Rattus norvegicus: one gene and its partner. The protein of the gene in region 1 purifies or fractionates together with the protein of each later gene. This does not show direct contact. Links are inferred from orthologs where the notes say so. Each region holds a gene or a part of one and is shown in the gene's direction. Other genes may lie near its edges. The genes, in order: Gid8 and Rmnd5a.

Region 1 (4,251 bases):
TCAATACCAACCTAAACAGCTTTGGTTAGAGCTATGGAGTTGCAGACTTAGCGCGTACAGCCACTGTGGTCGTTGTGTCCAACAGATCTGCAAAACTGGCCTTATTTTCAGTGACTCAATGAGAAGTTGCTTTCCCTAAACTCAGTTCATTTTTAAGCAAGCACACTCAACTATCTCAGACTGCCCAACATTTCCCCCCCAAAAGCATTCCAGAATTCCTTTACATTACAATGACTAAATTTGCATTCCCCTCCGGTAGACAATAAACACATGAATATGCAAATACTCATTTACCGACTCCAGCGAGGGCCTCTAACTACCCCCATCCCTTACCGGAATCTCTAAGAACCCATCTCAAGGCAATGAATAAACAGGATTCGGGGGGGTGGGAGGGATAGGAGTCCCTTCTCCGGCGGCTGGGATTCCCTCCGTCGGAGTCTTGAGCTGGGTCCCCACCGTACGCCGCTAAGACACTCTCTGTGAACGCCCTGAAGTAGGGAATACCCTCGGCGGCCTGGAGGAATCCCCACGGTGAGCGTTTTTGAAGCATGGATCTGCTCTGCTTCCATGATTGCCTTAGAAACAGGGATTAACATCCGTGCAAGCTCCATTCCCTGAGAACCCCAGCACTAGGGAGTCACCTTCTTGAGTGCCCAGAAACGAGGGAACGAGAGCCTCTGCAGTCCGCTCTCCAGCGAAGCCACAAGGATCGCTCTAAGCAGCGTTGTTCTGACGCTGACCTGGCCTCTATTACAACGTTCCCGGAATAAATCCTAGGAGCTCGCTCACGTCCGGAGGCCTTGTCTTTGAGACTAGAGCCTGGCGGACTAAAGGCCGGGAATGCCCTCATCTCGCGCACTCCGGTGTTCACACACACCTATTCCTCAACCACCCCCCGCTTCACACACACACACACACACAACACATACACACACAAAACAAGAAAAGAGCTGGGACCTTCATTTCGAACTCAGTCTACACGTCTCCATCCCCGCGCTAGCACTCAGTACGCGAATGCCCCCGCAGCAGCCATCTTGCGCAGAAGCGATACTAGCCTTTTGACTCTCGCGCCAACCCGTAGAGCTAGGGCACTGCCAAAGAGTTGTGCGCAAGAACGGAAGACAAGACCCTAGTATCCTGTGACCGCCTGCCCAGCAGATTCGCGAGAGGATTCCATTGGTTGCCAGTTCGCATCTCGAGATCTTACGATCTCGCGATAGGTGTCTGGGGGCAGACGCCGGTGTATCTACCTCCGCCTCGCGCCCCGCCCCCGCCTCCGCTGCGGCCTCCGCCTCCGCCTCCGCCTCCTCCTCTATCTCCCGCCGTCTCTGCCGCCCCTCCCCGGCCCCGGGAGCGGCCGCGGAGCCGCCACCCAGACCCTGTCGCGCGGGAGGCGGGATCCGCACGGTAAGATGGCCGCAGCGGGCCCTGACGGCCGTGCCGAGCGTCTCTGCGGGGCTCCGGGGTGGGCCGCGGCGCGGAGGTCAGAGGTCGGGGGCTTGTGCTCTCCAGGCTGCCCTGCCCAGGGCGTCCGAGGCGAGAGCGGGGATCAGGGCGGTCAGTCCTGCCCTTCACCGCCCGGCCCCGGAGTGGTAGGTCGGAGGCCGCACTGTTAGTCGGGGTGCTGCCGGGACCGGAATAGTTATTGCAAATGTTCGCACATCTCTGCAATTAAAGGCGCAGTGAAGGGGACAGCGAAAGGCGAAGACGCAGCTACTGCGTTAAAAGTCATCCTCGGGGCTTAGGATGCATCCCGGTCCACTGTGTAACCGCTGAATTTTGGGAACCACTGAATCCTACAGAAACACTAGCCCCTGTCTGTCCTCAGCCTTACTTGATAAGCTTTCCCGGCGCCGAGTGGAAATCGAGAGGGAAGGACCTTCTTGGGAAACATTTTTTTTCAGACTGATCTTTAGCTCACTTATGAATAAAAGTTAAGAATCGGTGAATTCTGTTATCCTGTGGCATGGAGAGACATCAGCCCTGTTCAGTTTCACTTCCCCGGGGCCCCGGCCTCCCGCCTCCCCCGCCCCCTACTAGATTTTAGGGACCTTCAAGTCTGCCAGAACTAGAAGTGTTGGCATGCCCCAAATATTAACCGCAATTATCCGCAAGTGGGCTTAGGAATTTTAATATCTTAAATCTTTCTTTAAACTCTTGCTTAAATACCTTTCCTGTTTCTAGCGTGGGTCCCGGGACCTGTAATCCAGAGTCCTACCACACCTGTCTAACTGCCAGAGTCCTCTGCCCCAGACTTGCCCTGCTCCTCCAACCTGTTTTACTTGCATCTCTCACACTTTGCCGTGCTCCCATTTCTAAGGCCTGACACTTGAAACCTCCAATTTGTTTGTCCATGCTTCTTTTCTCTTGTCCCTTCAAATTCAGTCCAGCAACAGCTGCCATTGATTTGGAGGCCAAAGCTTGATCTTGTCTCTTCTGCTGCCCACTCTACCAGCACTAAGAGGTCTCTTCGTTGGACTGCTTAGCCCTTTCCAGGCAATGTGCATTCCATTGTCAGACCAGACACCAGAGCCGTCTTTCAATTTTATGACTTATTAAAACAGAATAGTTCATCCTTTGCAGTGCACAATGTAATATCCTCGAAGTATATGTTATTGACAAAGTGAAAATGATCCAGCCCATCCTAGAGTTACCTTGACTGTCCCTCCCCTACCCCCACCCTCCCCGTGGCTCTACCATCCTGCCTTGCTCCCCCATGAAACAATCCCTGTGTGATACCATGTCTTTGTTTTAAGATCACACAGTATTTTGTGCTAAAGACATGCCATGTGGTTTGTTTCATATTTGATTTTGCAAAACATGTCACACTTGTACTTCTTATTAAAGTGATGTTCGAAAGTCTTAAGTACTCTGAATGTAAGAATTTCTTTATTTTATTTATTTTTGAGGCGGGGTCTCACCGTGTAACTCTGGTGGGCCCAGAACTCCATCTGTAGATCCACTTGCCCCAGCCTCACAAGCGCTGGTATTAAAATCGTGGTCAACACACACAGCTAAAACTGTCTCTTTGAACCCATTAGTCAACTTGATAGCGTGTTTTAGCTTCCTTCACACCGAGTGTGAATATGCATGTTCGACCAAGTCAGACTTGCATGCTTGTACCGTACTCTGGTCTCTAGCGAGGCTGTCATTCATGAAGCAGACCAGAGCTTGTGCCATACGATCTGTGTGAAAAACAGCAGCCTTCTCTTCAGAACACGAGTGCCCAAGGGTTCAGAGTTGGCGTTTGTATATCAAAGCTCCTTTATTCAGGATCTTGTTGAGTGACTGTTTTGGGGAGTGTGGTCCACCCTTTGTCAACTTAAGTGCATCAGTGAACAGCACACTCTCTGGTGCCTGTAGGATGTAGGAGTACCATTGTCCAACGGAAGGAAGCATGTGTCCCCTTATCGTCCTTCTCACACCTTTGTTCTCCCACGAAGGCGCTGAAGGAGACTCCACCCTTCACTAACACTTGTCTTCCTCTTGATTGCTGCGTCCTTTTTACACCATAACATGCAGTTTTTAACCTATAACTCTGTAGTGATTCCCCTTTATACTTTTTTTTTTCTTTTCTTTTTTTCGGGGCTGGGGACCGAACCCAGGGCCTTGTGCGTGCTAGGCAAGCGCTCTACCACTGAGCTAAATCCCCAACCCTCCCCTTCATGCTTTTAGCTTCAAACCTAACCCCTTCCTTCACAGCGTGATGTCTTGGTCTCTTCATTCTACAACTTGTGACTTTTATTTCACTTACCATACTTCCCACCTTTGACCTTGACGCTACCCCCGACGTGTCATTTTCTCAGGCCATTTTTTGCTTGTCAGTTTCAAGATTGAAAGCATCCTCCTACTCTTGCACTTACTACACTGCTGCGTTTATTTTTTAAAATGATTACACTGGACATGGAATTCTTCCCCAATTATTGTATCCTTTTCCTGTAGAAATAAGTCATAATGAGTTACGCAGAAAAGCCCGATGAAATAACCAAAGATGAATGGATGGAAAAGCTCAACAACTTACATGTTCAGCGCGCAGACATGAACCGACTCATCATGAACTACTTAGTCACAGGTAAAGGCTGGCTGTGCGTGAGGGCCACCAATTGACAGTAGCTCTCCCTTTTTAAACAAGTAGCCCTTTACCCCTGAAGTGTAATGATAAAATTAGGTTGCACTGAGAAATCATTAAAAAAAAAAACCTGTATGTTAACTTTGATATTTGTAAGTCAGACTAACATGTTAAAGGTGGCC
Region 2 (3,815 bases), on another chromosome or scaffold:
CTCTGTCCTTGATGTTTCAAGAATGTTTGCTTTCTGGGGCCTGAGATTGGGTTCAGACAGCAAAGAATGCCTCAGAATTTGACAATTTTGAGTTCTGTCTCTAGAACTCATGTGGTAGAAAGGAAGAACAACAATGCGTTTTTCAAAAGAGTATTTGCCCTTTTTGGAGAACATTTTTGTAATGATAGCTTAGAAGTCTTGGGTTTCAGCATTTGTCATTTTGGCCTTGGTGCTTGCCACTTCCTCTTCTGTATCATGTGAACTGTGTTTGGTTCCTTCTATGCTAAACAAATCTTGAGTTGCCCTCTGATGGGCAGATGCTAGTCTTCTGTGGGTTGCAATTCAATTTGGTTCACAGTTGTCTTGATTGTACTTCTGAGTAGCCAGTCTATCTTACTTCGGTTTTCAAAGTCAGAAGTATGCTCTGTGGGGTCAAAACTAGTATCCACAGCTCAAATGTAGGCCTAATAATAGAAACCACCCTTTACACCACCTGTCTCCTCAGTCCCAGCCTCAGAACTGCAGTTAGTGGGCTGTGCCATGTAGCAGTTCTATGTCCAATGAGGGGGTGTGTGTGTGTGTGTGTGTGTGTGTGTGTGTGTGTGTGTGTGTGTATGTGTATGTGCATATATGCATGCATATGTGTGCATGTGTGCTGTGTGTATTTCTGTCCTTCACATTCCAGACAGAGCTGCATTGAGCATGCTTTTAACAGATTACTACAGCATACATCTGAAAATATTGCTATAGTATAATGCCCAGAAATTGGCTTATTGATTTTGGTTTCACAGAAGTCAGTGTTAAGTCTATACATTTTCCTAGAGTGCTTCTTGATTTTTTTTTTAAGTTCATATTTATCTACCAGTAATCTCCAGGAGTGAAAAGATTTAAAAGAAGCACTAGGAAAATCCCTGCCTGTGATTGTGTAGATGAATTGAATTGAGTACTTCCTGGTAACACCAACGGAAGATGTAGACCTTTCTGTAAGATGTTTCTTTCTGTTAAGTGAGGTGAAAAAAGAAAGTCATCTATACACGATTATTTTCCATTTGCCCCCAGAATTTTGACTCTGACATTAGCAGTGTGGGAATAGATGGCTGCTGGCAGGCAGACAGCCAGCGGCTTCTCAATGAAGTCATGGTGGAACACTTCTTCCGACAAGGAATGCTGGACGTGGCCGAGGAGCTCTGCCAGGTAAGCATGTGCCAGTGAGGCATAGGGAAACAAACAAGGCCGTGCTGTGGGGTCTGCAGTGTCTGCGGGTGGGACTTGGGGGCACCTCAGACTGTAGGTCGATTTGTAATATTTTAATTAGCATGAATAAGTAATTTTGCTAGGAAATTTTTTAACTATGAAGATTCTAGTGCTATAATTTAGTATCTGAATTGCCCTTTCCTCAAGAAATTACACTCAGAGGAAATTACACTCAGAGTTTAATATCCAAATTGTTATTTCTTTGTTCGGAGTCTGGTAGGTTGATTTCTGGTCATGAGTCAAAGTGTCAAAGTAATACTACTTTTCCTGTGTGGCCCAGGCGGCCTTGACTCCTCCTGTTTCAGTCTTCCCAGTGCTACATTTAGTGGTGTGCACCATTTACTCCAGATCCTTTTCTTCCTGTGATAGGGAATGTTAATATAGCAGAAAAAAGAAACAAAAATAGTGATGTTTGGTTTTCTGATCTAATAAAACTATATCAAATGAAATTTCAGGTTAAAATTTACATGAGGTGGGCATTGGCCATCTTACTTCTGTTAGCCAGGAACACCATGTAGTCACGATAGTAGTAACTGCTGTGTATTATGTGTTTACTCAGGCCACACCCTGCTTTTCCTTGCATTAGGAGTTATTGTTGCTATTCCACACATAAGGAGTGTGAGGTTTGGAGAACCAAGGAATATACCCAGGGCCATTCAGGGAAGGAAATGGGGGATTCAGTATTCAGCCCTTATTCATTTCTCCAAACTCCATTCTGTTGCATTGTTGTTGTTGTTTAAGAAAAATGAAGAACTCAAAAGATAAACTATTTAAATTGCAGCATAAACCAGTCTATAATCTGAGCCTTTCTGTTTGAGACGGTTAAAATCAATGATACGTGGGTTGCTTTGTACCTTTAGAGGTGCGTGTGTCCATACCGACCTCACAGTAAATTGTCTTATTGAAGATCACTTTGTTTGCAAGTAACAGACTCAAGATAGAAGCTTAAACAAAGTTTGTTCTTTTCGTATAGAAAGAAAGGTAGTAAGAGAGGCTCATAGCACCTGTCCCGTGAAATTCTTAGACACTCCTCGTAGCTCTGCAGTTCCCAGTGAGCCCTCCTCTGCTTGTGGCCAGACTCCAGCTGTACCTTCCGTCCCAGGGAAGAGTATGTATTTACTTCGCATTGGCCTGAGTGCAGAACCGCACTCAGCTAGAGTTCAAGGTTGGTGCTTGGCTCAGATTTGACTGAAGCATAGAGGTTGGACAGTCTCTGTTTCTGCCCCAGAAGTATATGCTAAAAGAAAATTATCTTTGACAGCCCTGTATTTTATAGTCTAGATCAGCTTTTCCCACTGTGAATGATTATACTAACAGGTTTGTCTGTTTGTCTGTTTTTTCCTTCTAGGAGTCTGGTCTGTCTGTGGACCCAAGTCAGAAAGAACCATTTGTGGAATTAAATCGAATATTAGAAGCATTAAAAGTCAGAGTTCTAAGGCCTGCTCTTGAGTAAGTTACTCTTTCTTTTAGGTACTATGAGGGGAACTTTGTAAGAAAATTTATTTGTAAAACAGAAGAGAGATATTTTGATAGGTCTGTCTTACCTAGGGTAGAATAAAGAGGATTTGAGAAAGGACTCTTGGATGTCTTTAAACCGAGTGAAATAGAGCTGCATAATATGAGAACATGGGCAGCCTACTTAACATAACAGTTGATCATGTTTCCAGAAGAAAAATAGGTTTACTTATCTATGCTCCAACACCTCTTTGGATAGACCAGTATTAAAACTGAAGCATTATTGTTTCAGCAATCTTTACATGATATTCGAGCTGCTATAATGTATTGAGGGTTGTGCTCTCATTCTGAGAGATGCTTTAGTTGGCTATGGGAGCTAAGTGATATTCATGAACAGATGAAAAATTCTGTATGAAAGATGTGTGTGAGTGTGCATGAAAGAGAAAGAGAGAAGGGAAAAAGGAATGTGTCAGGAGTCGAAGATAAGAGAATTCAGGTTTATGGGTGTCATATTGTATATGTGGAGATCAGAGGACAGCTTTGGGAGTCAGTTTTCTCTTCCACTGTGGATTCTTAGGATTGAACTCAAGTCATCAGGTTTCTGCTGCAAACTAGCAAGCACTTTAACTGACTGAGTCATGCCACTGGCCCAGATCACCACAATATACATGGTGCTATGAATTGAACCCAGGGGGATGCACAAGTGAACAACTGGATTTTGATGATTTACTGTGAACATACCATTTACTTGAGTTATCTGAAATATACCTGGGTACTTGTTGCTGGAATAGGGTTGGTGTGTGGTTTAAATAAGAATGGCCCCTACAGGGCTTATATAGTTGAAGAGTAGGGGTGTGGTGTTGGGGGAGTTGTGGGCCTTTTTGGAGGAGGTATGTCACTGGAAGTGGTCTTTAAGGTTTCAAAAGCCCACACCATTCCCAGTTGTGATCAGATAAAAACTCTCAGCTTCTGCTCCAGCACCATGCCAGCCCCTTGTCCCCTTGCTCCCTATTCCCTATTCCCTGCTCCCTGCCCCCTGCCCCCTGCTATGATGGTCATGAATTTACCCTCTGAACTGTAAGCAAGCTTCCAGTTAAGTGCTTCAT

Evidence for each region.
Region 2: the proteins of Gid8 (region 1) and Rmnd5a purify together in Homo sapiens (affinity purification with mass spectrometry; 5 studies listed by BioGRID and IntAct, counting the BioPlex papers as one, with this or other methods). This does not show direct contact. The link is inferred for Rattus norvegicus from reciprocal best matches to the Homo sapiens genes GID8 and RMND5A.

Annotation. Positions count from the first base shown.
Region 1 is NC_086021.1:188,202,347-188,206,597, forward strand, and holds the start of Gid8 (glucose-induced degradation protein 8 homolog), read left to right. Parts: upstream 1-1,224; 5' UTR 1,225-1,407; intron 1,408-3,942; 5' UTR 3,943-3,954; coding exon 3,955-4,072; intron 4,073-4,251. UniProt on the Homo sapiens protein: Core component of the CTLH E3 ubiquitin-protein ligase complex that selectively accepts ubiquitin from UBE2H and mediates ubiquitination and subsequent proteasomal degradation of the transcription factor HBP1.
Region 2 is NC_086022.1:104,959,806-104,963,620, reverse strand, and holds part of Rmnd5a (required for meiotic nuclear division 5 homolog A), read left to right. Parts: intron 1-1,059; coding exon 1,060-1,194; intron 1,195-2,602; coding exon 2,603-2,703; intron 2,704-3,815.